Coturnix japonica: one gene and its partners. The protein of the gene in region 1 purifies or fractionates together with the protein of each later gene. This does not show direct contact. Links are inferred from orthologs where the notes say so. Each region holds a gene or a part of one and is shown in the gene's direction. Other genes may lie near its edges. The genes, in order: POLR2H, POLR1E, POLR3E, POLR3H, MED26, RPAP2 and MED19.

Region 1 (3,339 bases):
CTGCCCAGGGCCTTGTCCCTCACTCAGGGTGATGCGGTGCTAATGAGGGGATGATCGGGTGGGCTGTGATGTTGCTCCGTGCCACCTCCATCATCTCCTCCTTACCCACATGGGTAATTGGCAGCCTGGTGACAGACAGACTCATTAACAGCTTAATTTTGGCTCGCTCTCTTCCTGCCCAACCCCAGCCTTAGGGGGGCCGCTCAGTGGGGGGATGTCAGCGCTGCACCCCATAGCACCGCAACATGGGGATGGTGCCACCCCATAGCACCGCAACATGGGGATGGTGCCACCCCATTGCCCGATGCCAGCCAGCTTCTCCCCAGGTCTGTTTGCTCCATAACGGCGGTGCCGCGGCTCCTTTGTGCCCGCAGATAAGAGGGGCCGCGGCCGCCTCTGAAGCACCGCTCCCACCCCCGAGCCGGGCAGGCTTTGGGGAGAGGGCAGGGATTTAGGGTGCAGGATTTGGGGCTGCCCAACCACCCAGGTGCCGCCGTGGCTCTGCCACCTGCTCTGCCTCTGTGTGCAGACCCCATCCCCATCAGCCCTTCACTCCAAAGCCACGGCCCCATCTCCATCACCATCCCCCCCATCAGAGAGCACTGGAGGCTGTGTTGGCCCCCCAATGCTGCCCCACCGGATGGAGGCCTGGCCGCCGTTCAAAGCCGTGCTCATGTTGTATAATTTATCAGTGAAAGATAACAGCCCCACGGCTAAACCTCCCCACCCACACACAGCCCGGCACTGTGAGCAATGGGACTCCCAGCCTGGGGAGAGCCCACATGGAGGGACCCCCGGTGTGTCCTACTGTATGCTGGGATGCTTTGGGGTGCACCAAGGCAGAGCTGTGCCCCCCCCCCCCCCAAAATCCCTTCATATATCCCGGCGCACCGGGGGCTGCAGAGCACCTGGGGACGGTCTGTGGGATCCGTGCAGGTTGGGGGCGGGCTGAGGGCTGGTGCTGTGTGCTCTGAGCGGCACCAGGTGCCGGATGGGCTTGTTTGGCTCCAGATAAGGAGGAGACGGCGGCACCGGGCAGGTGCTATAGTGTGGGGGCTGCCCACCCCAACCTCGGCTCCTCGACCCCGGAGGTGCGGGGCCGCCAACCCGGGTCCCTCCGTGTCCCTCCGTGTCCCTCCGTGTCCCTCTGTACCAGCGCATCCCTCCGCTCACACAGCCCGGCCGCATTGAGCCCTTTGGGGAGGGGGCTGGCGGTAGGAGCTGGGTGTCACCGGGGATGTGACACGGAGGGAAGGTGACGCTGTGGGGTGTGACACGGGTGGGCTGTGGGGTGACGCTGCTGCCCCCCGCCCAGCTCCGAGCTCCGTCCCGCCGTGGATCTGCCCCGACCCACGCGGTTCGATCCGCGGCCGCGCAGCGCCCCCTACCGCCCCCTGCGCTGCAGTGCGCCCCCCCAGCCTGCAGGGGGCGCTGCCGGCGGCGCTAGGACCGCGCGGGCACCTCTGCCCGCCCACCACGAATGAGGTTTCCGGATGTGGAAACACGTCATCACCGTGCGCCGCAGCGGGAGCCGGCGCGGGAGCGAAGGGGCGCCGCCATGGCCGGCATTCTGTTCGAGGACATCTTCGATGTGAAGGACATCGACCCCGAGGGGAAGAAGTTCGACCGTGGTGAGATACGACCCCCCCGCTCCCCGCCCCTTCCTCCCACCCGGGGCTCCGAGGGCCGGGCCGGGTGCGGCGGGCCCTTCCCGTTGACGCCCCGTCCCGGCCCGCTCAGTGTCCCGGCTGCACTGCGAGAGCGAGTCGTTCAAGATGGATCTGATCCTGGACGTCAACATCCAGATCTACCCCGTGGATCTCGGTACGGGACGGGCGGGGAGGGGGGGGGGGGCAGCTCCGGCTGTGCGCTCTGAGCGCTGCTTTGTTATCGCCTCCCAGGGGACAAGTTCCGTCTGGTCATTGCCAGCACCCTGTATGAGGATGGGACGTTGGATGATGGGGAGTACAACCCCACTGATGACCGGCCCTCCAGGTAACGTGGCTCGCAGTGGTGGGAGAGACCCCTCCTACAAGGGGCCTCCTCGCAGAGGATGCTCTGTTAGGGGATGTGGGAAGGATGGTCTGACGCTTCTCTCAGCTCCCCTCATGTCATTGCAGGGCGGACCAGTTTGAGTACGTGATGTATGGCAAGGTGTACAGGATTGAGGGGGATGAGACGTCCACAGAGGCAGCCACACGCCTGTGAGTGGCTGTTGAGAAGGGGACGCGTTGCCTGAGGGTGGTGGGGAGGCAGCGTTATCTTGACTGGGTCTCCTATGGGTTTCCCTGCTCTCACTGCTCCTCTCCTCCTGCCCCAGCTCTGCTTATGTGTCCTATGGGGGGCTGCTCATGCGCCTTCAGGGAGACGCAAACAATCTGCATGGGTTTGAAGTGGACTCCAGAGTTTACCTGCTGATGAAGAAGTTGGCCTTCTAGGAGATGATGCACCTCAGAGGGCTGCCTGCCCCCAGAGACATTCTGTTGGAGAGCAGAAAGGACACCATCACCCCAAATCCTGCCCCAGCACCTTTGCTGCCCAGTCCCTCCAGTGGTGGTGGAGGAGGGGACTTTCCCCCTTTGTCATCCCAGTCTTTTCTGACTGTTTCCCTTCTGTGCAGGGGCTGATGCCTCATTCTCAGTGGAGACCGTGGGTGCTCTGTGGCCCTGCCTGCTGATCTCACCTTCCTGCACTTCAAAAGCAGGCTTAGCCCCAGCTCTAACCAGGGGCCGCTGGACTGGGGCACTCACCTGTCTGTGCTAGGGCTGGGCATCATTTTCTAAGGAGCTGTTCTGAGACAGATGTGGCTTCTTAATTAAACTGCTATGTGTTTTCTAGATGTGGTTGTTGTGGCAAGGTTGGCTTCCCAGAATGCCGGTTGGTAGATGAAGATGGGATGCTCATGGAGGATGTTGTGGTAGCAGACAGCAAAGGTACCACATCAGGGGCACTGGCTTTCAAGCTGCAGCTCCTGGAGGGGCTTGGCCTAGTCTGAGTGATGCTGTGTGACCCCAGAGCTCAGCACAGTGAAATTGGCAGGTGGATACTGGAAGGCAAGGGGCATTATTATCTCACATCCCCAGCTGAGCCCACCTGCCCTGCAGAGATGGCAGCCACCACAGGAGGGAGCTGGACACTGGGAAAATCAGGAGCGTTTGTTCCCCAGCTATTGCCTCCCCCAGAGACTGGTGTATGCTCCTTAGGCCAGTGCTACAGCAGGGGGAACAGGAAGACACAAACAATCCTTTAGAAAAATAGGTCTTTAATTGTAAAGCATTCACAGTCTGATAGGAGCAGGGCATGTGCCTCGTGCTGCACAGGTATGGCTGCTTTTGACCT
Region 2 (4,166 bases), on another chromosome or scaffold:
GAATTAGCAAGGTTGGAAAAGATCATCTAGTCCAACAATTCCCAATACTTCCAGGCTAAATCATATTCCTCAGCACCACATCCAAACATTTCTTGAACACTCCCATGCTCGGTGACTCCCCCACCTCCCTGGGCAGTGCATTCCAATGCCTGAATACTCTTTCTGAAAAGTAATACTTCCAAATGTCCAGCCTGAATCTCCCCTGACGCAGCTTAAAACCATTCCCTCTAGTTCTAAGTTCCAAGTTAGCAAGAAACAGCAGGTAGGGACAGAGGCGCTGTCACAGAATCACAGAATTGTAGGGGTTGGAAGGGACCTCTAGAGATCATTGAGTCCAACCCCCCTGCCAAAGCAGGCTCCCTACACCATGTCACACAGCTCGGCGTCCAGGCGGGTCTTAAATATCTCCAGAGAAGGAGACTCCACCACCTCCCTGTGCAGCCTGTTCCAGTGCTCCGTCACCCTCACTGTAAAGAAGTTCTTATTAAGGAACTTCCTATGCTGTACTTTCATCCCATTACCCCTAGTCCTATCCCCACACACTACTGAAAAGAGACCAGCCTCACCACTATGGCCCCCACACCTCAGGTATTTATAAACCTGGATCAAGTCCCCTCTCAGCCTTCTTTTCTCAAGGCTCAACAGACCCAGTTCCCTAAGTCTCTCCTCATAGGGGAGACGCTCCAGGCCCTTCACCATCTTTGTGTCCCTCCACTGGAGTCTTTCCAAGAGATCCCTGTCTTTTTTGTACTGGGGAGCCCAGAACTGGATACAATATTCCAGATGAGGCCTTAATAGGGCAGAGTCGAGTGGGAGGATCACCTCCTTTAACCTGCTGGACACACTCTTTTTAATACACCCCAGTATGCCATTGGCTACAAGGTGCTAGCAGCGTGTTAGCACCTCCCCAACCCAAGTACCGTCCTCCACATCACGGCTATGATGAGCAACGACATGAACGTGAGACAGGAGGGCCTAACCCCAACCCTAACCCTAACCCCAACCCTAACCCTATAACCCTATAACCCTATAACCCTCCTAGCATCACACCAGGACCCCCTCACACCCCACCCCTCGTGTAACGCATCCCATCGCTCTGTCCCTCCCTCCAGTGACCGCAGTGGGCACCGCCGCCGTTACAGACCCGCTCCAGGCTCCTCCTTCAGCACCAGTGAAGCAGTGCGGGCAGCGGGGCCGGCACACCGCCTGTTGTTCCCGTGCTGTTCCCCTGTTGTTCCCCGCTCACACCGGGCCCAGCGGCACCGAACCCGCCGCGCTACGACGCTCCGGCCCCGCGCTCCACCCCCGCTCCCACCCTGTCGCCGCGTCGGCCGGAAATGACGCCATATTGACGAGAGGATGTGACGTCATCTCGGAGCGCCCCCACCGGAAGTGCCGCCATTACGGCGTGGCGCCTGGCCTGTTCCTGTGTGTACCGGGTATGGCCACCGCCACGTGGAGATACCGCGGGGATCCCGAGCAGGAGCAGCCGGCAGTGCTGGGTGAGCAGAGATGCGGGATGGGCGGTGCGGTGCGGTGAGGTGCTGAGGGACTCACGGCCTGTTTTATCGCCCGTAGTGACGTTCTCCAATGGGCAGCTGCAGCGACCCGACGCCGTGCGGTTCTCGCTGTACCGGAGCAGCGAGGTGTCCAACCCCAGGAAGAGAAGGCGGAGGATCCTGGTAAGGCCCGGCATCACCGGGGGTGGGATCTATGGGGTCTATGGGGTCTCTATGGAGAATCTGTGGGGTCTCTGTGGGGAATCTGTGGGGTCTGTGGGGTCTCTATGGGGATCTATGGGGACTGTGGGGTCTCTATGGGGTCACTATGGGGATCTGTGGGGTCTCTGTGGGTCTCTATGGGGGTCTCTATGGGGATCTATGGTGTCTATGGGGGTCTATGGGGATCTCTGGGGTCTCTATGGGGTCTCTATGGGGGTCTCTATGGGGTCTCTGTGGGGATCTGTGGGGTCTCTATGGGGTCTCTGTGGGGATCTGTGGGGTCTCTATGGGGATCTATGGGGTCTCTGGGTCTCTATGGGGGTCTCTATGGGGATCTATGGTGTCTATGTGGTCTCTGTGGGGATCTGTGGGGTCTATGGGGTCTCTATGGGTCTCTGTGGGGTCTATGGCGTCTCTATGGGGGTCTATGGGGTCTCTATGGGGATGTATGGGGTCTATGGGGTCTCTATTTGGATGTATGGGGTCTCTATGGGGGTCTATGGGTCTCTATGGGGTCTCTGTGGGGGTCTCTTTGGGGTGTATGGGGTCTCTTTGGGGTGTATGGGGTCTCTTTGGGGTCTCTATGGGGGTCTATGGGGTCTCTATGGGGATCTAAGGGGTCTCTATGGGTCTCTATTGGGATCTATGGGGTCTTTATGGGGATCTGTGAGGGTCTATGGGGTCTCTATGGGGATCTCTATGGGGGTTTATGGGTATCTGTGGGATCTGTGGAGTCTCTATGGGGATCTGTGGGGGTCTTTGGGGTCTCTATGGGGATCTATGGGGTCTCTATGTGGGATCTTTGGGGTCTATGGGGTCTTTATAGGTCTCTGTGGGGTCTATGGGGTCTCTGTGGGGATCTGTGGAGTCTCTGTGGGGATCTATGGGGTCTCTGTGGGGATGTATGGGGTCTGTGGGGTCTCTATGGGGATGTACGGGGTCTATGGGGTCTCTATGGGGATGTACGGGGTCTGTGGGGTCTCTATGGGGATGTATGGGGTCTATGTGGTCTCTGTGGGGATCTATGGGGGTCTGTGGGGTCTCTGTGGGGATCTGTGGGTCTCTATGGGGTCTCTATGGGGATCTATAGGGTCTCCTGGGCAACCTGATCTAGTAAATGTGTATGTTTGGTGGCCCTGCTAGGCAGGGGGGTTGGAACTACATGATGCTTGAGGTCCCTTCCAACCTGGGTCATTCTGTGATTCTGTGAAAGTCCTAAAGATCATCCAGTCCAACCGTTCTCCTATTACCAATAGCTCCCCCTAAACCATGTCCCTCAACACAACATCCAGTCGTTCCTTGGGCACCCCCGGGGTGATGATCCTCTGGTTTGTAATGTTGCCTTCCCACAGCTCTGTGCCACTTGGCTCATTCTGACATCTAACACTTGTTCTGTAAACCGAGAAAGGCTTTGAGTAACTGCATCAAGCAACCTTAAGCACTGCGAGTAGGATGTGCAGGTGACTGGTACAGAATGCTCCTTTCCACTGCCTCTTTCACAGACTGCTCCTACTGCTTTAAAGGATGGTTTATTTATTTACTTTATAAAGTATAAAGTAAATGGAATATGTAAAGTAAAGTAAAGGAATATGATTTAGCTGAGAAATATCGGTAATGGTTGGACTAGATGATCTTGTAGGTCTTTTCCAACCTTGATAATTCTGTGATTCTATGGTGACCGTGGCAAATTTGAGCTTTGTGTCACTAGAGATACAGTACATGCAGGAAAATATGCACTTTCAAATAATGCACTCTTCAAGTAATTTTTTTCTTTGTTTGTCAGGTTTCAGAAACTGAAAGGCTTTCATACGTGGGGAATAACTTCAGCAGTGGATCTATGAAAAGCAACTCCCTATGCAGGTATGGGTAGCTGGCAACGCTGTGGCAGAAACAGGGAGGGGAAAGCAGAGGAACTGCACAAATAAAGTATTTTCTGTAGCCTTCTGTATTGGGGACTGATGAGTTCTCATTGAGACCATGGTGTGAATGGAGAGGATTGGGGCAGTTGATATAATCTCCTGGCAGCTGCACCATTTTGCATGTTGTGATCTTACACATAAGTGGAGTTTAGGTCTGCTGGAGGGAAGAAAAGTGAGAAGGTGTCTGCACATAGCTGAAACCTATGGACAACAGCATTATTCCTTCTTAACTGTTGTCTCGCTCCAATTTAGGAGTGAGGCAAAGGTTCTTTTAATAATGTTATGCCCGGCGTGAGATTAAGAAGAAGAGCATTCAAATGTTGATCCGACCAGTTTATTGGAAATAATAGACAATTGAGGGGATGGGGAAGGGAGAGTGACGAATGCCAAAATTAGGGTGATGGGGAAGGGAAAGTAGGCGATAGAAAAAGGTAGAAAAGAGCAAGAATTACGTTAAAGCGGGGAATAGTCACCTCCTGGATGCAGCAGCGTCCCGTAGCACGTTGTTAACGTTGGTCCGGGGCAA
Region 3 (3,500 bases), on another chromosome or scaffold:
AGTTGTATCTGTTTCAGGTATTTCAGTTAGCTTTTATTTAGTGAAAATTTGTTTAAAATAAATTAATGGAAAGAGCAATAGCTTTATTTACCTCTTACAGGGAACAGGCAAAGCTGTATGGTCTCAGTTGAAACATTTAGTATTAAATTGTTTGTAAGAGAAGAGTGATTGTTTATGGCATTGGCTTAACATTAAATCATTGCCTATAAACCCTGAGGGAATTATTTTAGGAGATGGAGTTTATTTAGTCATGGAGTTAACGGGTTTTCATGGCTTTACATCCTTTTGCTGTTGGATTAATGTGTTGTACCATTTTCTTGTCTTATAGCACATAGTGATGTGTTGGAGGCAGGAAATGGAAAAGGGTGAAGTGACAGCAGCAGAGGTTGGAGGGGAAAGCTTTCTAGACCATACTTGGAGATCTGATGACTCACAAGATTACAAAAGTCATTCATTGAGATCTTGTAACCATCGGGAAAGTGCCTTTACATGTAAAGGGTCAGGCAGGGTTTAATAAATTTCTGTGAAATTCTTTTGCTTTTAAATTAAGAATTTCTATGAAATTGATGTGTTTTGCAGTACCCAATTCGTCCAGCTTCCATGACATATGATGATGTTACACATTTATCAGCGAAGATAAAGCCAAAGCAGCAAAAGGTTGGTCATCATTTGAGTCCAGTCTGTGAAAGTTGTGTTACACTGTCTGGAATGTGCTTCAGGTCATTACACTGGGCTGCTAAGCTGTTCTAAGTGTGCAGCTTGTGGGACCAGATCTCTGTGCTTGGGGAACAGGGAGTCTGTCACTGTAAGACTGCAGGAGAGCTTAAAAGAAGAATGGTTTATTAAGAGAGGAATGAATGTCACAATGGAAAAAAATATATAAAAACAGAATCATTCAGGAAACTCTGGCTACTGTTATTCAGTCTGTACAAGATTGATTTTAAAGACTTTCACAATATTTAGAATTTTGTTGAGGTTTGAAGGCGTGCTTTGTCTTTTAGAGTCATTGTGTGTCTTGATTCTTCCTTTGCCTGGCTGTGAACCATCAGCTGTCCCGTTTGAGAATCAGTGGGGTGGTGAAAGTATAACCAAAGCCAGAATGATTTCACTTGACTACAGAAGAATTCCAAACCTGTAGCTGTGATTTTAAAATGCCTCATGTTAAAAAAAAATGAAAAAAACCACTCACGGGTGTGTGATAGCAGGATTCTTTTCTGGGAAATAGTTGAGGAGAGTGCTTATGTGAATTTTGGAGTCACAGCCTATGCTGTGTTAAGGATTTTTCTAATTAGAATTAGCAGATGTATAAATCTACCATCATAACCAGGGACTGGTCACTACTTCAGTTTACAAGTAACATGAAGGGGAATAAAAGTGAGGTGGTGGCTGTAATTTGTAAGTTTAATTGATTATACATCTGGAGTTCTGCCATCGTAATAATTTGCCTTTTCTTTCACATTTTTTAGGTTGAACTGGAAATGGCCATTGATACTTTGAATCCAAACTACTGTCGCAGCAAAGGAGAACAGATTGCTCTCAATGTAGATGGCACTTGTACAGATGAAACAAGTACCTATTCCTCGTAGGTGTCCTGTTTGCTTTCCTTTGTTTCTGCGGTGTGCAGATATGTGTATGTCCATTAGGCCCATGTCCATCCACACATCTCTTAATAACTCCAGGAGTGAGGGCTCCACCTTTGTGCCTCTCTATGAAAAAGTTCTTCCCAGTATCCAATCTAAACCTCCCCAGCACAACTTGAGGCTGTTTCCTTGTGTCCTATCACTTGTCACCTGAGAAAAGAGACCAACACCTCCTCACTGCAGCCTCCTTTCAGGCAGTTATAGAGAACTGAGGTCTCTCCTGAGCCTTCCTTTCTCCAGACTAAACAACTCCAGTTCCCTCAGTCATTCCTCCTAATCTTGTTTTGTAGTCCCCAGCTTTATTGCTCTTTGCTGCACATGCTCAGTCAAGTCAATATCCTTCCTGTAATGGGGGCCCAAAACTGAATGCAGTGCTCAAGGTGTGGCCTTACCAGCGCTGCATGCAAAGGATCAATCACTTTCCAGTCCTGCTGGTCACAGTATTTCTGTTGCAGACTATGGTGCCATTGGCCTTCTTGGCCACATGGGTACACTGCTGGCTCACATTAGCTGGCTGCTGACCAGCACAGCATGCTCAGGTCCTTCTCCTTTCCAGCCACTCTGCCCCAAGGCTGTACTGCTGGATGGGGTTATTAATGACCCAGCACTTACCCTTAGTTCATGTCATGTCATGTAACTTGGCCCATCAATCTTATCTAGGTCCCTCTGCAGAGCCTTCCTGACCTCAAGCAGATCAACAGTCTTGCCTTAGTGAGAGTGCACTCAGTGCCCTCATGCAGATTGTTGATTAAAACGTTACACAAAACTAGCCTCAGTATTTAAAGTATTTGCTGATGGACCATTTTGAGACTTTGTGATTTCAGGCCTTTTAACATCTGTATGCCACGTTGCCTGTAGCATATAATCTTACAGCATTCATCTGTTTGCAGGAAGCTGATGGACAAACAAACTTTCTGCTCTTCGCAAGCTGCAAGTAATGTTTCCCGCTATGCAGCTGCTGTTTATAGAAAAGGTGACTTTGTTTTGTTACCCCTCACATCAGTGAAATATGTGAATTTCTGGGTTAAATAAGAGCTGTTTGTTCTGTGTTTTTAATAGCATAGGCTCATATTTAATTGATGCTTTTCTAAATAAAATGAAAGCTTTCCTTATGAGCATCCCTGGAGTCCTTGAGGAGCTCCAGCAGAGTTTTAAATAATATAGCAGGACACTGTAGGTGCCTCCAGGATCTTAGTAGTCCGTGATGGCCTGAAACATACATTTGCAAAAAAAATTATTTATCTCACTTACATTGTATTATTATCTCCATCTAGGCATGGCTGTTTTATTTGCCTGTTCAGCACATCCTGCCCTTCTCTTGTTTCCTACTGTCACCGCAGAGTTTTGATGTGAGGATCATTGTAGATTGCCTACAGTGATGTCTCTTTCACTAGTAGTCTCCTGACAGATCAGATCTGAGCCAAAATGGGGCTCTCTGTAAGATCTGGCTCCAACATTAAAAAATAAGGTAGCAGGAGTAGGTCTTGATTTTTTTTCATACTCCTTTGAAATTCTGTGAACTGGATGAATCACTTAATCCCTTTTTACTGTGTTAAATATTTGTGCTCTCTGCAAGCGGTGCTGTTGCAGAGGTAGCAAAGTGATGAAAGTACTGTCTCTGTGCACTAGAAAACAATACCTTTAACCAATATCCATTCTCTTTTTCAGGTGAACTTCATCTGACTCCACTGCATGGAATTCTTCAGCTGAGGCCAAGTTTCACCTACTTGGATAAAGCTGATGCAAAACACCGCGAAAGAGAAGCTGCTAATGAAGGTAAATGCTACGTGAGTTGTGTTTCCTTTTGAGAGGTAGGATGCAAATTCTCTCTATAATTTTATTCAAAGGTGTTTAATATAG
Region 4 (3,958 bases), on another chromosome or scaffold:
TAGCCTCTGTGAATTTGTGGCTATGTCATGTGTCAGTACCATAGGGGCACAAGGAAAGCACTCAGTGAGATGGGGTTGTTCCCACAGTTTCCAGCATCAGAATGCTTGAGCTGCAGTGTGAAATACAGTGTGCTGCTGGGTGCTAACTACAGCAGAGTTGAGGCAGCTACAGCGACCTGCAAAACCTGCAGCTAAAGGTCAGCCCCAGCATCGTCTGACCTGCATGGAGCCAGGACAGAACAGCAAGGGATGCAGCGAGCAGAACTGTGCTGTACTCAGATTAGCACAGCCACCACCACGGAGAAGGGAAAGGTTCTTTGTACAGCTCCTGAAATAGGCTGGGGTGGATTTGGGGTGAGGTGTCCCAACAGTGGTGTGTGCAGAGCTCATCACTGAGACTAATGCTACTCTTCCGAGGGACCTGGGAAGGAAAACTGGATCCTCCAACTCCTGCTTAATGCCAACACACCAGACATGTGCTGAGCAGCCATTTAATAATCACAAAAACACCCTGGTGGAGCAGGAATAATTTCAAACAGATCAGGAACTCCTTAGCCACGACAGATCTCTGGTTAATGAGGCCGAGGTGCGGTATCTGTGGCCTTGTTTTCCCCTTCCTGCTCCAAGACAGCTCAACATCTAATGATTTCTTATCCCAAGCACTCATTACCGCCCGCTACACACTGCCACAGGGTGCGGGGGGTGACACCCGTCGTGCTGGCATCAAAGCCGCGGTGCTGACAGCACAGTTTTGCCTGTCAGCCGCAGACACGTTGGTTTTCCTCAGTCTTTTTTTCAGCACACTGCAGGCAGCTCTTCCATATCTCGGGGAACGTCTCAGGCACGGAACAGCCACTTGTTTTCCATAATTCCTATAACGAGGAGAGCAGCTGCGGAGAACTGTGCGCGGATTTACGTTTTACTTAACGAAAGTAGGCCCTGAAAGGAGCACCTCAGTGACAGCCGCCACCTATCTCACAGGAAGACAAAATGGCCGCCCCCGCGTGAGGCGGGCCTGGCGCCGGCGCTAGGGGCGGGGCCTCCGCACGGCACATACCGTGCGGTAGGTCCGGCTACACGTCAATCAGAATCCATCTCCCCGCCCCCCGAAGGCGATTGGCTCCGACACCGGAAGTCGCCGTGAGGACGTGCAGCGCGGGGCGGTGTGTGTCAGGTGGGTTTGAGGCTCCCGGGGGTCGGTGCTGCCTCTTCGCTCCTGGTGCCTTGAGCTCCGGGCTCACCCGGTCACGAACCCGCTCTGGTCTCACTGTGGGCTCGTGGGGAGGCCGAGCGCTGCACAGCTGGTCTCTAACCCCACTCGTTCCCCTTGCTCCTCACAGTCCCCAGAGGACGCAGAGTGCTGCCCCGCCGCGCCCCCGGCAAGGCCTGGGCTGAATGCTCGTTACTGAGGCGGCCCCTGTACGGTTCTGCTCTCTCTCTGTCTCCCCAGAGGCCGCCATGTTTGTCCTGGTGGAGATGACTGACACGGTGAGGATTCCTCCCTGGCAGTTTGAGAGGAAACTGAATGAGTCCATTGCAGAGGAGCTAAACAAGAAATTGGCCAATAAGGTAATGTATAGGGTGGCGTAAGTGTTGTAGCATCACCATATAGTGGAGTGTTTCTGTGTTTGTGCCTAATGACACATACATCAGAACAGCTTAGATATGAAGGCTGACTCCAAACAAAATGGAAAAAAAAGAGAGAGCTGTGTACCATCCCATAGGGGTCTTCTATTCTTCGTGCAGTAGGGAATGTGCTGAGGGGCATGGAAAAAGAGAGTTGCTGCCACCTTATGTGTAGGGCAGCAGTGCAAAGTGCTGTATGAAGAAAGCACATGCAAACCAGGTCAGTGTAAATACAACAAAAATACTGAAAGAGAAATGGAAGTGGTGCTATCTGACCTGCTTTGTGCTGAGTACAGTATGCTGGCATAGTCTTCCCCTTTAGTGTGGGGCATATGAAAGAGTTGTGTCACAGCGTCCCTGTGCAGCCCATGAGGCTGATGGGCACACAACTTTCAGGGGATACAGAACTTAGAGTGCAGCTTGGCAATGTGAAGGGGGCTCTGGAGAGCAGCCTGAAGTGACTGAGGAAGCAGAATATACGGGCAGCTTAGGAAAAAAACCCACAACAATCTTATCCACTGACTATATGGGTAGGTGCCACAGATTCTGTGAAGTGGCAGAGAAACTGGGAGTTCTGATCTCTGCCCACAGCTATTAGAGTTTCAGACAAAGACAAGCTTAGAAACTTGTGAGGATGGTGGCAAGATCTTGGCCTTTGGACAAGATATGGGTCTGCTGAATTGGTACGTGTTCTTTCACAACTTTACTATTGTGACAGGATTTCTGTTTACAGCAGTGCTCCTTCTAGTCCCAGTAAGAACACACACATAACACTTGAGTTATGAGGTTAGGGGTACCTCTGAAATGCAGCATGCTTAGTGCTGGGGCCATTGGAGGAGTGCACATAAACAACCTCCCTCCCATCTTGCCACCTTCTGTTGCCTTCTTTCTAAAAGCTGTGCATGTTGTATAAACTTGAAGGGAGTCAACCTGCTAATTGATTTACTGCCTTTTCTATTACTTTTTCATTCGAACAGGTTGTATACAACGTTGGTCTCTGCATCTGCCTGTATGATATTACCAAACTGGAAGATTCATACATATTCCCTGGGGATGGTGCATCACATACCAAAGGTATGTTCAGAGCTATGGCTGTTGCAGGTTAGAGGTCTGCAAGTGTTGACTGAGATCCCATGGTTAGGTAAATTAAGTTTAAAGGGACTTGCTGAAGTTATCAGCCTTCACTGTTCTCTTCAGGAGAGAGAGAGGATCGTGGCGGAAGTCTCTTTCCATTGCACTGCTGTGGTTAGAAATACATATTTAAGTATGTGGTCCTATCTTCCTTCTCTAGCAGTTTATCTCTGCCCTATAGTTATAGCCATAGATCTTGGGTAAAGAAGGGGTTAATTTAACTTAGAAAGCTCAGAAATCTCTAAATAGAAAGTAATTTATACTAATGGTTCTGTGTTTGTCCATTATCATCATTGTTATTTTCTTTTTGAAGCTTATTTTGCCTGCCTGGAATGTTGAAACATTTCTAAATATAACATTCACACAACAGTTGATGCTGTTTTCTTAGCTGGAAGCTTTGCGGCATCTGTCTTTGAGACTCAGACAGATCTGGTTCAGCATATATTGTTGGGATTTAGATGTCTTTTATGGGGGAGGGAATAAGAAATGATTCATTACTTTTGAGCTTTGGCAGATCTGAACAAAAGCTGTAAATAAATGCAGAAACACTCGAGCAAAGGAAGTAACCCTGTTAGAAGGAGACTGGACTGACTGCACGTGGCACCCCAGACATCATTTTTAATGTCAATAGCGCTAATTCCCTACAAATAAAAGCTTCTTTAATACTGAAGAGGATGGCAGGCTTTCCTGCTCCTTTTAGTCTCCATTTGCTTCCTTAACTTCGAACCTCCTTGAACTGAAACAAGTTCATATATTCCCTGAGTTTGCAGAGAAACCTCCTGTTTTCAGAAGCTGGGATAGCGCTTGCTCCCAGGCAGCAGGATTTATTGCTCCTCCTCCAATCTAGTGCTTGGTTTTATATAGAAGAACAGCACTGGGTATGTACAGTTAAAATGATGTTAAGCAGCTTTTAAACCTTATTTTGCTGGGGTTGTCTTAGTATGGCTTCCTTATGAATGCAAAATTCTTAGTTAGCAACGTAAGTAGAGTTTTCATTTGGGTTAAATAAGATTATGGCAGAGAATCTTACTTTGATACTATTGTTTACCATGTAATTTCATTTGAAGAAAATACATCTTTGCCATCAAAGATAAAAGGAGCAGAAGTATGGCAGGAAAACAACATTTCAGCTGACATTCTTGGTGTCCAAGGATGCTTTGTAACAGAATCAGAGGCCCTGCTTGTTTTATGGTTTCATCCC
Region 5 (4,235 bases), on another chromosome or scaffold:
CGGCTGTCGGGCGCTCCGTCCATAAGGCCGCATTCACCCTCGGAGCTGCCTCGCGCTGCCAACGTGGGGGCTGGAGTGGGACGGGGCCGCTTCAACCGCAGCCGGCGGCGGATGGCGGCATTTCGGGCTCACGGAGCCGCGGCGCCGCGCTCCCCTCCCCCGCCCGCGCTCCTCCAGCCCCGCGGGTGACCCCGCCGCCGGGCGCACGCGCGCCGTGAGGCCGACTGCGCACGCGCGGCCGCCCCCCCTCCCGTCACGGAGCCCGCCGCGCACGCGCTCTGGGCGCCCGGCGGTGCGTGCGGAGGGACGTCAGGGGCGCGCCGTGCGTAACGGCGTCGGGCGTGTCCCATGGTGCCCTGCGCGGGGCTGGCTCCTGCCCACAGTTGAGTTCGGCCCCGAGCGGAGCAGTCGGGCCCGGCCCGGTCGCGCCGTCGCGGTTCTTCCGCGCCCCGCTCCGAGCGCCGCCGCCCCCCGCTCGGCGGGGAGCGAACATGCGACTCCGGCTCCCCGAGGAGGCCGCCGCCGCCGCCGGCGAGTGAGGAGCCGCCGCCCCGGCCCGGCCCGGCCCCGCCGCCCGCCCGCCCCGGCCGCAGCCGCCCCGCTTCGCCCAGGCAATGACAGCGGCTCCGGCCCCCTCCCCGCAGCAGATCAGGGACCGGCTGCTGCAGGCCATCGACCCGCAGAGCAACGTGAGTACGGCCCGCCGGGCCCGGGGCTCCCGACCGGCGGCGCGGGGACGCCGAGCTCCGGCCGCTCTCCGGCCCCGCCGCCGCCTCCCGCTGTGGGAACGAACGAACGCCGTGGGGCCGCGCGGCCGCCGCCGCCGCTTCTCCTCCTGCCGGGACCGCGGCGCGCCGCGCTCCTCCCCGGGCACCGGAAGCCTCCGCTGCGGGCGGTAGCGGCAGCTCCCGGCTCCGTGCTCGCCCACGGTCCCGTTCCCGGCGGCGCTTTTCCGCGCGCTCCCTCCGTGGAGCTCGGGGGTCTCTCCCCGTTTCCCCTCCGGCCGCGCTCTCCCTCCGCCCCGCGCCGTCTCCCGTCACTCCCGGCGCCGTCCGGCTGTGCCCGGCCATGCGGCGCGCGGCCCGGCGGCCTCCCCACGCCAGGCCGCGGCTCGGGTGCGGCCTGCAGGGGGCTCTGGGCCGGGCTGCGGACTCTCGCAGGGCGCCCACCTGTTCCGCGGCCCCTCCGCCGCCTCCCGCCGCAGACGCCGGGCCCGGGGCCGTCCCCGCGTTCTGGGGGCGCCCGGAGGGCTTCGAAGGTGGATCCGGGGCACTGGAGCGGCTCCGGCAGCGGGCAGCCTCGGTCTTCGCTTTTATCCTTCCCTGCAGAGCGCTAATGAGCTTATCTGCTCCTTCTGGGATGTAGAGTAAGCACGGGAGTCGACGTAGATTTTACCAGTAAGTGGTCTTCATGTGTAAGTCGTGGTAATCCAAAGTGTTATTTACTCCTTTTAAGGTTTTTTTTGGCATAGTAAAGCAGCTCTTCACATCCACGTTTACTACGGTGAGAGGACTGTGGGGTCTGCGGTCTGTCAGATTTATTCGATCTGAAATCCACATTTGCCATGGCAGTGCACAGAGCTGTGCTGCTCCCAGCTGTCTGTCGCAGGGCAGTCAGGGTGAGTCAGGCTGCAGCGTGCTGTGCTGTGCCAGGAGTGCACGAGATGGGCTCCGAGGTTCATTGGAGCTGTGCCTGCTTCTCTCTGAGCAAATCTCTCCCATAACAGACAGGTGTTGTGTTCTCCGAGTGGCTGATGAACTTACTGCTGTTTGGAAGCATCATGTAGCGCCATGCAAGTGATGTGAAAACTGAAAGATAAACCACTTTGTAATAGCCTGTTGTGATAAGCATTTGTCATGAGCTGCAGTATTACCAGCTTGAGTAACAGTAATGAATGATAAGGGTGATGGTGGGCTTTCAAGTCTCAGTTGTTGGAGTCTGTGGTCCTTTAACTTGGTAGATACGGAAACAATCTTTCCTGAGTTCTGTTTGCTCTGGGACTTGTGGCTGTGGGATTTTGGTTTTACCTTACACTCAGCATCAAGCTGGTTAAATACAGTTCTAATGGAGCAGTGGTTTCTTGTCACTTCAGACCTGCTGATGCTGGTTGCTCTGTTTCTGGGGTTACTTTCTAAAACGTTGTAGCTGTGTAGAGTTAAGAATTATGTTTTGTGATGAATGTGCTTCTTCCATGTGCGATGTCAGGTTGTGCTGTGGTGGTGGTATGGAGCAGGAGCTCTGCTGGGCAGGTCTGAGCATCAGGCAGCGCTCTGTGGGCCTGCAGCAGGTCAGTAGCCCCATAAGCTTAGAAGCAATGTATGTTAAATTATAATTCTACATACTTGATACTTATCCAGGGCAATAATTAGCGGTGGAAAAATCAGCCCATTGTTCAGAAATGCCTGTAGGCAGGGGGCTGTCTTCTATTTTAACCTCTTCTTCGAATGAGAACAGAAGTGGTGGAGTTGAGGTTCATCATACAGACTTGGACTTTTTTTTCCCAGCACATAGTAAGCAATAGATGGACAGGCAGAACTGCTGTGCTGTTTTAGTGAAAGGGAGAAAAATATGAGTTTTGAACGTTCTTAAAAGCAGATTGTGACTTAAATCTGACTTGATCTCCAATGTTGAAGTACAAGAGAGGCTGCTCTGTTGTCTCCCCACAGGAAGCAGTTGTGCAGCTCTGAGCTGCAGCACTTCTTGGTGCACAGGGAGAGTTGTGGCTCTTTTCTTCTGGCTTCTGGAGACTTTTCTTGAAAGAAGTGGTTGCATTCAAACTTAAAGCATTCATTATTGTGATTGACTTCCTTGTTTACTAAGAAAAAAGCTTTGAGGCCTGGATTTCTTTTGGACTTTTTGATGTGATTGTCGGTGCGGGTACGTGTGTGTCCCTGGAGAGGAGGGAGGGTGAAAACTGCACCAGATCTACCCAGCATGTGGCACAAGGATCAGTTTGGTGGGGCTGTGGAGGGGAGGTGGTTCTCATCACGCTTTGCTGTGGGGTGCTGTCAACTTCAGCTTTGCTGATATCTTCCCCAACACAACCCGCTTTCCCCTTGTGGATATTCAATCCAGTGGGACTGTGGAGGTCTTTGTGGTATGAGCAAATCTTGGATAAGTGTGAGGTCCTCTCAGAGAAGATCCTTCCTGTGGTGAGTTAAACAAGATGGCTCTTCCCCAGGTTGTTGGAACCCATGTGCTTTCAGAAGCTGTTCACTATTCTGATCATCTGTTTTAACCTCTGCTTGAAGCTCTGCTGACTTGGAGCGCTGCTTATATTGTACACACATTTAGCACTTGAGACCTCTTCTAGTATTTGCTGCAGAATGTTTTGATAACTTATTTTCACACACTTGGATCACTATTTATGTGATAAAGCTCTGTTTCAAAGGAGACCTGTAAGAAATAAGCTATTTAAAAAAAAAATTACATCATATTGGAAGCCACACGGGATGTCTGCTGTTACATCTCCATTTATTCAGCCTTTTCCCCTTGCAAAAACATATGGACAAACTACTTCTGCTCCATGACTTACACCCCATTTACCAGCATGGGGTCATTGGGAATGGACCCAGTCCTGTATTGGAGCAGGGAGTTGGGTGTTGTACCCCCAGCAGGGCAGTGTGATGTTCCTGCAGGGAAATCCTCCTCCTGGGAGGACTTTTTGGACAGCACAGCTGGGGAAGCGTCCGATGGGCTCTTGGAGCGGGCTTTTAGGGGAAAGGGCTCCCTGGTTCTGGTAGAAGCAGCACTTTTCTCTTTGGGCTCACTGTGCTGAGCAGAACCCCTCTGCTGGGTGAAGGCGCTCCAATGGGGCATCAGGAGTCTCATTGCCTGGTGGCAGGAATGGTGTGAGCTGTTCGCTTTTGCTCTGTGGGAAAGACTGTTAGAACTGTTCTCACAATTGCACAGGGTCCTCATCCCAAATATGTAGCAGCCTTTGTGTTTTGAATATTAGACAATAATTTAATTATTTACCATTAATAGCACTTGAAGGTGTGAGCCCAGCTCTGGTTTGAGGTCACCACCCCTCAGATGCTCACTGTATGGGTTGGGCTGCCTGCAGTCCAGGCTGCCGTGCACACTGAGCTCCATGGCTTTGCTGCTCGGCCTCTGGGAGATGTCTGCAGGCCAGAACATTAATGATGAATCCGTCTATGTGCTGTGCTATGTTACCTAGTGTTGGGTGATCTTCCAGTCTCATGGTTAGTGATGTTTCCACAGCTGTTTTCTGG
Region 6 (4,073 bases), on another chromosome or scaffold:
GTCTTCATGGTAAGGGTGACGGAGCACTGGAACAGGCTGCCCAGGGAGGTTGTGGAGTCTCCTTCTCTGGAGATATTCAAGACTACTCCTGGACACCTACCTGTGCAGCCTGCTGTAGGGGGCCTGCTTTGCAAGGGGGCTGGACTTGATGACCTCTGGAGGTCCCTTCCCACCCCTACAGTTCTGTGATTCTGTGATATGTTCACTTTGACATGTTCTGCTGAGAGAAACAAGAACACTTCTTTCTCCAAGAGGGAAAACTTGGGAAAACAGTCAGGGAGAAGTGAATGAAACATGGAGACTAAGCCCAGATAGCAGCAAGGAGATCTTCTAACAAGTATCTTGTGTTCTGAAGCCATAGAGTGAACCTTTAATTGCACTTATGACTTTTATGAGAAGTACTTACGCATCTTTGTATTATGGCTTGAAGTTCATCAACTGCCATTATTGCTTGAGTTTGCTCTTCAGGCATTGAAAACTATTAGGAATTAAAAGGTACAGTATTAAAACACATTAAGTAAATGCAGAAATTTAAAAATAAATTAAAAAAAATCATGTTATTAAGACACCAAATAGAGAAATGAGAACAGTCTTTTAGCTACTGCATGGCCACATACAGTGGGAGCTGTATGTGCCTTCATATGTGCCTTCAGGTGCCTGCTGCCTTGTACCAACAGTGGTTTAGACCAGTCAAGACTACATATGCAACATTATTCACTTCCTTGCAGTGCTGGCCGATCAAGCATTCCATTTTCTTCAGGTGCAACAATTAAAAACTTCAGGTTTGGGGATTCCTGTTTGTTTAACAGCTTTGAGTACTTTCTTCTGCCTAAGGCTCGTTATACAGCCACTGTCCCTAACCCACCACCAATTTCCATACGCTGTCAGCTCTGCTGTTTTCCCCCCCAGCCCTCGGACACGTGACGGCACACACGGCGCTGCTCAGCTCCCCACGCTGTCAGGCCTTACGACTTAACCCACTTTCTAATTACATCTTTCCAGCGGTTCCAGCGGCAAACGTACAGCACCCAAATAAGCACAAACTTACTGCTGCTTATACTCAGAGCCCTCCCTCCTCTATTAAAGTAGCTTTCCCACGTGGGGTGCCACATACACGCCAGCACGAGGGGCTGCTAAGGTCAGCCTTTAACCCAGGGCTGAATTACAAACAAAACCCGCAAGAAGCGCTCCCCGCTCACAGCACCCACCGTAACCGCTCACACCGCGCTGCCGCCGCTCCTCGCTCCCGGCCCGGGCCCGGCCGACACGGCTCCGCCTCCGGTGAGAGGTCAGAGGGAGGGAGGCGGCAGCGCCATGATGGCGGATGGGAAGACGCCGTGCAGTGCGAAGGGGAGGCCCGGCCGGCGGCGGGCAGGTGAGTTCCGCGCCGCGCTCCGCCCGCTCCGCAGGCCGGTACAGTGAGTTAATGCAACTCCTGGCCGTGCCGGGCGGTAGCACGGCAGCACAGCAGCACGGCAGCACGGCCTGGGCTGGCGGGGCACGAGGGTACCGCGAGTTCGGGGCGGCTGCGGCAACACAGCGGCTGCACGGGGCAGGGCTCCCCGCAGGAGGTCGGATGAGGGCAGGCCGTGCTCACCCCGCAGCGGTACAAAACCGTACCTGACACTGCCCAGCGGTTATTGCCTTGCTGAAGGCATAGCCAACAACAGCGAGGCTCTGTGCATTCCAATGTGCATTCCAATGTGCTTGCAGAAGTCTTCGTGTTTTTTAAAAGTTCCAATGTTTTCATTGCTAAAGGAAGAACAGACACTTATATGCTTCCATGTTTTCGATTTCTAGGACATAAACGGTCGGCTGCCCCTAAAAATGAAGATGCTGATCAGAGGTATCATTTCTAGCAAACAACACACTGCGATCACTTTGCTTTGCTTCACTCTGGAACTGTGCTCTTTTCCTCCTGTGTTTTTGGCTTTGCCAGAGATGACTGACCTCCAGAGACACCAGCATCCACCTCCAGCAGGTTTTTGGTGTGATGCCGTGGGTCTTTTAAACAAACATCAACTTAGCATTGCTTAGAATAGGCATAGCCATCCTGTTTGGATAGAGCTGCACATTACATCTGAACAGGGCTGAAAGCTGCATCCCCTTTAAGCAGCATAGAACAACACAGTACAGGTGCCTCTGCCAGCTGCTCCCACGTGTCAGACAGCCGCCCATCAGGGAGAGATGCCCAGAGGAATCCAGATTTGCAGTGGTGACACAGATGGCAGGAGAACAACTTTCCAGGGGGAGGTGGAGCTACAGGAGGTATCTCTGTTCCATCACCTGGCTGATGCACAGTTCAATTGGCCTGTCTGACAGAGTGAGAATAAAGTTCAGCAAAGGCTACAATCTACATATAGAGAGAGAATATATCAAAATATGCCTCACTGCAGATACATGGAAGGTACAGGAAAATACCAATGGGTGCATATACTGGAATAATTCTGTTGTGGTTTGACAATAAAAGTCAATACTTTTCCTGACTGGGGAGAAAATAAAGCAAAGAATCTTTTTGTTTGTCTTTAGTGGTTATTACAAAATTTATAGCCCACTTATTGCTTTGTTTGGCCAACTTGATGAGATGCAGAAAATATAAACTACTGTGTTTCAGAAAAGAAGATATCCAGGTGGGGAATTGCTTATGGGAGCTGCTTTCTGTTTCATTCAACATCTCTTACGTTACAGGAAAGCAGCCCTGGAGGCTTCTACTAGAAAAAAGATTGAACTTGAGAGAAAGGCACTGCGTATTGTTGAGCAGCTCCTGGAAGAGGACATTACTGAAGAGTTCCTTCTGAATTCTGTACGTGTCACAAGTTTTTGTGTTATTTTGTATCTTAGTGTCCAGCTGTTTTTTAAAAGTCCTTAGAACAATTTGCTGCAGTTCAGAGCAGACAAGTTCATCCTCTCTTGTCAGCTCTGTTGATGGCTGCCTTACTTTCAAGGGTTCTCCAGTGAAAATATGCTCCAGTTTTGTAGGATGAGATATAATTGTGAATCTCTCTCTATTAGCATACTTTATGCCTCTGGGAAGCACAAAAAGTTAAGTCCATATCATGCCCTCTGTGAGTTTAGCCAATGGTGCTCTTTACCCCACAGTTCAAGTGCTGTATATTAAACTTACAGTTATAAAATGGAAAGTATGTATTTGCTTATTTACATCTGAGTGTGAAAAGTAACAGATCTTCCAGTATTCTTGAACTATTTTCTTGTAATTGCAGGGAAAATGTATTACTCCATCTCACTATAAGGACGTTGTTGATGAACGGTCTATCATCAAACTATGTGGTTACCCCGTATGTCAAAATAAACTGGAAAATGTAAGTTGCTTTTTTTGTTTGTTTTTGAGTAATGTTATCATAAGAACCTAATCACATTTTTTATTCTCTTGCTTATTTTTTTCATTTTAAACTTAGAATGTTAAAATATAGATTAAAATGCTGTCAGGTATCATTTCAGTATAATGCTTCTGAAGTTAAAAGTTAAATCTGATTGATTGACAACTGTTGCTGTATAAGGGAATCAATTACAATCTATTTGGACAGTAATAAAGATAAATAAGGTGTGGTGTCATAGCTATCCTTTGTGCATGCAGAAACATTTTAATCTGTTCCTTCTGTACCTTTGTAAGAAGGGCTGATATGAAAGAGGTAAAACACATGGGTATTACTATGTGACTGCAAATACATCCCCTCCAAAAACAGACCTTACTTGTGTCAAAATCAGTCATGCCTAAATACAACGTATTAGAGCTTAAGTGGAACTATGAGTTCAGTTACATAACCATAATACCAGGTGTGATACAACCAGTTATCTGGGAAAAATAAATCATGAAAGGAAAAATAGGTACCGTTTTGGATTTCACATGTCCCAACAGAACTTGGAAACTATTACCTTTGATGTAAGCTCCCCTCTGGATTTGTCTGAATAGTGGCAGAGTCACACATGAACAGGGTTTCTTCTGTGACAGCTCCATTGGTTCACTCCCAGCAGAGGCTTTCTTGTAAACCTGAAGTTGCCTACTAAGATGTGAATGAATAATGAGAAATTGCAGTTCTAATGTCTAAGGAGAT
Region 7 (3,319 bases), on another chromosome or scaffold:
AAAGCAGGCAGCACTCACTTGAGAGAGAGGTCAGCGAAGATGGGGGCAAAGGACTGGCACTCACTGGACCAGTTGGCGAAGAACTCGACGATCCAGGTCACCCGCTTGTCTCGTTCCAGCTCCTCCTGCCACGCGAGTCAACAGGGGATGGTAGGCAGGGAGCCCGGCACCCCACGCCAACTCACACTGGGTAGGAGATACTCACATCTATGGTCTTATCGTTGAAGTACTTGATATACTCAGGTCCCATGTAAAGGGGTGGCTTGCAGGTCATCAGGAACACTGCAATAACAGCATCCCTGAGCCCAGCGCCCACCTGGAGCGAGGCCTCTGCCCCCTTTTTTCCACTTCTGGAATGCCCAAGAGACACAGGCTTAGTCTGAGGGAGGCTCCTCCTTCCCCAGAGCAGCCTGTATGGCTACAAAGACAGCAGCAGCACAAGGCAAGATGGCTCCAGCCCCATTTGAGGAAGGCAATGCACAGGATGGGCAGAGACAAGGCCTGACAGGAGCACTGTTACAGCCCCTGCATTACGGATCCCCCCCCACTTCCCCACGTGTCTCACCGATGCAGAGCGTGAGGTAGAGCAGGCCCATGCGGATGTCAAGACGGAAGAAGAGGATGGCGTTGGCCACTTTGCTGAACATGAAGATGTTCCCAATGTGCTGCTCCACAGTGACTGGGAAGGAGGGAAGAAATCAGAGATGGGGCCACGTCTCTTTTCACTCTCATCCCTCAACTGTTTCCAGTACAGAGACACCCCATCAGCAGCTTATACTCAACCCAGCACTGCCCCAACTCACTGGAGCGCCGGTTCTTCATCATGACGATGGCGCTGAGGAACATGAGGATCTCCACCTCCCGCTGCACAGGAGAGAAACGCAGTGAGCACCGTGACAGCCACAGCCACAGCCACAGCCACAGCCACAGCCAGCACCTCGGGCACAACCGAGCAGCCCTGCAGCACAACCACAAGGCCAAGCAGCCATTCCAGGCCGCTCCAGCCTTCATCCTCCGCCTGCCCTCGATCAGGAGCCGGGGCTGCGCACAGAGGGGCCGCCTCGGCTGCACCCAGCGCCGGTGATACCCGAGTAGGCCACGGCACAGGCCGGCCCGGTGCTGCCGCTCACCCAGTCGAAGTCGCAGGGGTTGCCGTCCTCCCGCTGTGAGGGCAGCCCGCGGCACAGCGGCGGGACCTTGCGGACGAGCAGGAATGCGGTGGCGAGCAGCGCGGACAGCGGGTAGTAGGGCCGGGCCAGCCAGCGGCACAGCCCCGGCACCGAGTACAGCAGCGCCAGCAGCGGGGCCAGCACCGCCATCTTGTCCTCCGGCCGCCCGCCGCGCTCCCATTGGCCGGAGCTGCACGTACGTCCGCGAGGGGCGGGGCGGCCCCGCGCGGGGCAGGGCGGGAAGATGGAGAACTTCTCGGCGCTGTTCGGCGGGGCCGAGCCGCCTCCCGCCGCCGCCGCCGCCGCGCTGGGCTTCGGGCCCAACAAGGGGCCGGGAGCGGGGGCCGCTCCGCCTCCAGCAGCCGCCGTGCCGCCGCCGGGAGACGACGCGGCGCGCAAGGCCGCCACCGGCCCCTTCTACCTGCTGCGGGAGCTGCCGGGTGCGGGCCGGGCCGCGGGGGAGGGGGGGGGGGCGCGGGGCCAATGAGCGGGCGGGACGCGCGGAGTGACGGCTCGTCGGGCCAATGGGCGCGGGCGGTCCGGCGAGGGGCGGGGCGCTGAGGGTGCCGGTCCGTCCGCAGGCGGCACGGAGCTGACGGGCAGCAGCAACCTGATCACACACTACAGCCTGGAGCACGCGTACAACAAGTTCTGCGGCAAGAAGGTGAAGGAGAAGCTCAGCAACTTCCTGCCCGACCTGCCCGGCATGATCGACCTGCCCGGCTCACACGACAACAGCAGCCTGCGCTCCCTCATCGAGAAGCCGCCCATCTGCGGCAGCTCCTTCACGCCGCTCACCGGCACCATGCTGACCGGGTTCCGACTGCACGCCGGCCCGGTGAGCACCCGGGGGAGGAAGGGGGGATGGGGGTAAGGAGGGGGTCCGCTGACATGAGCCCCTGCAGCTGCCGGAGCAGTGCCGCCTCATGCACATCCAGCCGCCCAAGAAGAAGAACAAGCACAAGCACAAGCAGAGCCGCACGCAGGACCCTGTGCCCCCAGGTAGGACCGTGCCCTGCTAACTCTGCACCCCATGTGTCCTGGTAACTCTGTGCCCCGCTCACCCCTCCTCTGCTTCCTGCAGAAACCCCCTCGGACTCAGACCACAAGAAAAAGAAGAAGAAGAAAGAGGAGGATCCGGAGCGCAAAAGGAAGAAGAAGGAGAAAAAGAAAAAGAAGGTAGGTTAGGAGGCAGCGTGCTGCTCTGCTCTGCCTGCACCAGCCCCGTGCCAGGCCGCGGCAGCACCACACGTTAGGCCTCCAGCAGGGCTTGGCACTGGGTTTCACAAGGCCTCACGCCTGTCCTTCTTCTGCAGAACCGACACAGCCCCGAGCACCCCGGGGTGGGCAGCTCGCAGGCCAGCAGCAGCAGCAGCTTGCGGTGAGGCTGCGCTGTGCTGCTCTATGGAGCTCCCTGCCCCAGCTGTGGACTCGTCCCATCACAGAGCACAGCGGGGAGGTGTGGGCACTCATGGTCCCCGCTTGCAGAGAACGTGGCCTTGCAACCCCCCTGCTTGCACTGTGTGGCTGATGGGGACCTGGTGACGCGGACGCTGCTGGAATGGGGGCTCCTACCACACCTAAGCAACGTGGTGCATTGGGATCTCACTTTTTTATTCACCTTTTAATTAAAGTCTGCTCTGAGGAAGAGCTGGTGCCAGTGGCGGCTCTGACTGTTGGCCAGCGGGGCAGGGCAAGGAGCAGAGGCCTTGTGCCTGTCCCATCATACTCCAGGCCTTGCAGCTCTCTGGGCTGTGAGAGAAGGCTCAGGAGGACACAAGTGACCCCAGTTCAGCACCATGTCCCCCAGGGCTGCCCCTGTGGGGGCTCCTACAGAAGAGCCAGAGCCTCACTGAGTCCTGGGACATGTTCCAACCCTGACAGCTCCACTTACCTGCACTGAGAGCGCTGTGCCCCAAAGTGCCCTAAGGAAGCACATCCCAGCTGTGAGGGCGCAGGCACTGGCAGCCCTGTAAGGCTGGGCCCGGCTCTCCTTGTCCCCTTCCTTTCCACTCCAGACGAGGGAGGGAAAGCTGAGAAGTGAAGGACAGGATCCTTCACGGACTCCTCCATCCCTGGACACCGCACAAAGCACACGCATGCCCGCTGAGGTGACTCATTAAATATCCTTTTATTCCTCGTTTTTAAAA

The links.
Region 2: the proteins of POLR2H (region 1) and POLR1E purify together in Homo sapiens (affinity purification with mass spectrometry; 3 studies listed by BioGRID and IntAct, with this or other methods). This does not show direct contact. The link is inferred for Coturnix japonica from reciprocal best matches to the Homo sapiens genes POLR2H and POLR1E.
Region 3: the proteins of POLR2H (region 1) and POLR3E purify together in Homo sapiens (affinity purification with mass spectrometry; 3 studies listed by BioGRID and IntAct, with this or other methods). This does not show direct contact. The link is inferred for Coturnix japonica from reciprocal best matches to the Homo sapiens genes POLR2H and POLR3E.
Region 4: the proteins of POLR2H (region 1) and POLR3H purify together in Homo sapiens (affinity purification with mass spectrometry; 5 studies listed by BioGRID and IntAct, with this or other methods). This does not show direct contact. The link is inferred for Coturnix japonica from reciprocal best matches to the Homo sapiens genes POLR2H and POLR3H.
Region 5: the proteins of POLR2H (region 1) and MED26 purify together in Homo sapiens (affinity purification with mass spectrometry; 3 studies listed by BioGRID and IntAct, with this or other methods). This does not show direct contact. The link is inferred for Coturnix japonica from reciprocal best matches to the Homo sapiens genes POLR2H and MED26.
Region 6: the proteins of POLR2H (region 1) and RPAP2 purify together in Homo sapiens (affinity purification with mass spectrometry; 3 studies listed by BioGRID and IntAct, with this or other methods). This does not show direct contact. The link is inferred for Coturnix japonica from reciprocal best matches to the Homo sapiens genes POLR2H and RPAP2.
Region 7: the proteins of POLR2H (region 1) and MED19 purify together in Homo sapiens (affinity purification with mass spectrometry; 3 studies listed by BioGRID and IntAct, with this or other methods). This does not show direct contact. The link is inferred for Coturnix japonica from reciprocal best matches to the Homo sapiens genes POLR2H and MED19.

Annotation. Positions count from the first base shown.
Region 1 is NC_029524.1:13,963,259-13,966,597, reverse strand, and holds POLR2H (DNA-directed RNA polymerases I, II, and III subunit RPABC3), read left to right. Parts: upstream 1-1,494; 5' UTR 1,495-1,558; coding exon 1,559-1,631; intron 1,632-1,740; coding exon 1,741-1,824; intron 1,825-1,901; coding exon 1,902-1,995; intron 1,996-2,120; coding exon 2,121-2,204; intron 2,205-2,320; coding exon 2,321-2,438; 3' UTR 2,439-2,839; downstream 2,840-3,339. UniProt on the Homo sapiens protein: DNA-dependent RNA polymerase catalyzes the transcription of DNA into RNA using the four ribonucleoside triphosphates as substrates.
Region 2 is NC_029547.1:66,747,554-66,751,719, reverse strand, and holds the start of POLR1E (DNA-directed RNA polymerase I subunit RPA49), read left to right. Parts: upstream 1-1,366; 5' UTR 1,367-1,441; coding exon 1,442-1,502; intron 1,503-1,578; coding exon 1,579-1,682; intron 1,683-3,504; coding exon 3,505-3,581; intron 3,582-4,166. UniProt on the Homo sapiens protein: Component of RNA polymerase I (Pol I), a DNA-dependent RNA polymerase which synthesizes ribosomal RNA precursors using the four ribonucleoside triphosphates as substrates.
Region 3 is NC_029529.1:8,331,699-8,335,198, forward strand, and holds part of POLR3E (DNA-directed RNA polymerase III subunit RPC5), read left to right. Parts: coding exon 1-17; intron 18-579; coding exon 580-657; intron 658-1,466; coding exon 1,467-1,582; intron 1,583-2,530; coding exon 2,531-2,613; intron 2,614-3,308; coding exon 3,309-3,416; intron 3,417-3,500. UniProt on the Homo sapiens protein: DNA-dependent RNA polymerase catalyzes the transcription of DNA into RNA using the four ribonucleoside triphosphates as substrates.
Region 4 is NC_029516.1:45,236,925-45,240,882, forward strand, and holds the start of POLR3H (DNA-directed RNA polymerase III subunit RPC8), read left to right. Parts: upstream 1-1,158; 5' UTR 1,159-1,174; intron 1,175-1,180; exon of another isoform or gene 1,181-1,340; 5' UTR 1,341-1,395; coding exon 1,396-1,569; intron 1,570-2,603; coding exon 2,604-2,700; intron 2,701-3,958.
Region 5 is NC_029543.1:3,344,973-3,349,207, forward strand, and holds the start of MED26 (mediator of RNA polymerase II transcription subunit 26), read left to right. Parts: upstream 1-1,435; 5' UTR 1,436-2,164; coding exon 2,165-2,287; intron 2,288-4,235. UniProt on the Homo sapiens protein: Component of the Mediator complex, a coactivator involved in the regulated transcription of nearly all RNA polymerase II-dependent genes.
Region 6 is NC_029523.1:12,310,623-12,314,695, reverse strand, and holds the start of RPAP2 (putative RNA polymerase II subunit B1 CTD phosphatase RPAP2), read left to right. Parts: upstream 1-1,273; 5' UTR 1,274-1,314; coding exon 1,315-1,375; intron 1,376-1,800; coding exon 1,801-1,846; intron 1,847-2,688; coding exon 2,689-2,803; intron 2,804-3,221; coding exon 3,222-3,320; intron 3,321-4,073. Other genes in the region: GLMN (glomulin), read right to left, coding at 407-472.
Region 7 is NC_029520.1:7,805,569-7,808,887, reverse strand, and holds MED19 (mediator of RNA polymerase II transcription subunit 19), read left to right. Parts: upstream 1-1,390; 5' UTR 1,391-1,413; coding exon 1,414-1,609; intron 1,610-1,750; coding exon 1,751-2,007; intron 2,008-2,074; coding exon 2,075-2,171; intron 2,172-2,253; coding exon 2,254-2,348; intron 2,349-2,485; coding exon 2,486-2,554; 3' UTR 2,555-2,819; downstream 2,820-3,319. Other genes in the region: TMX2 (thioredoxin-related transmembrane protein 2), read right to left, coding at 19-125, 206-282, 566-679, 804-864, 1,131-1,319. UniProt on the Homo sapiens protein: Component of the Mediator complex, a coactivator involved in the regulated transcription of nearly all RNA polymerase II-dependent genes.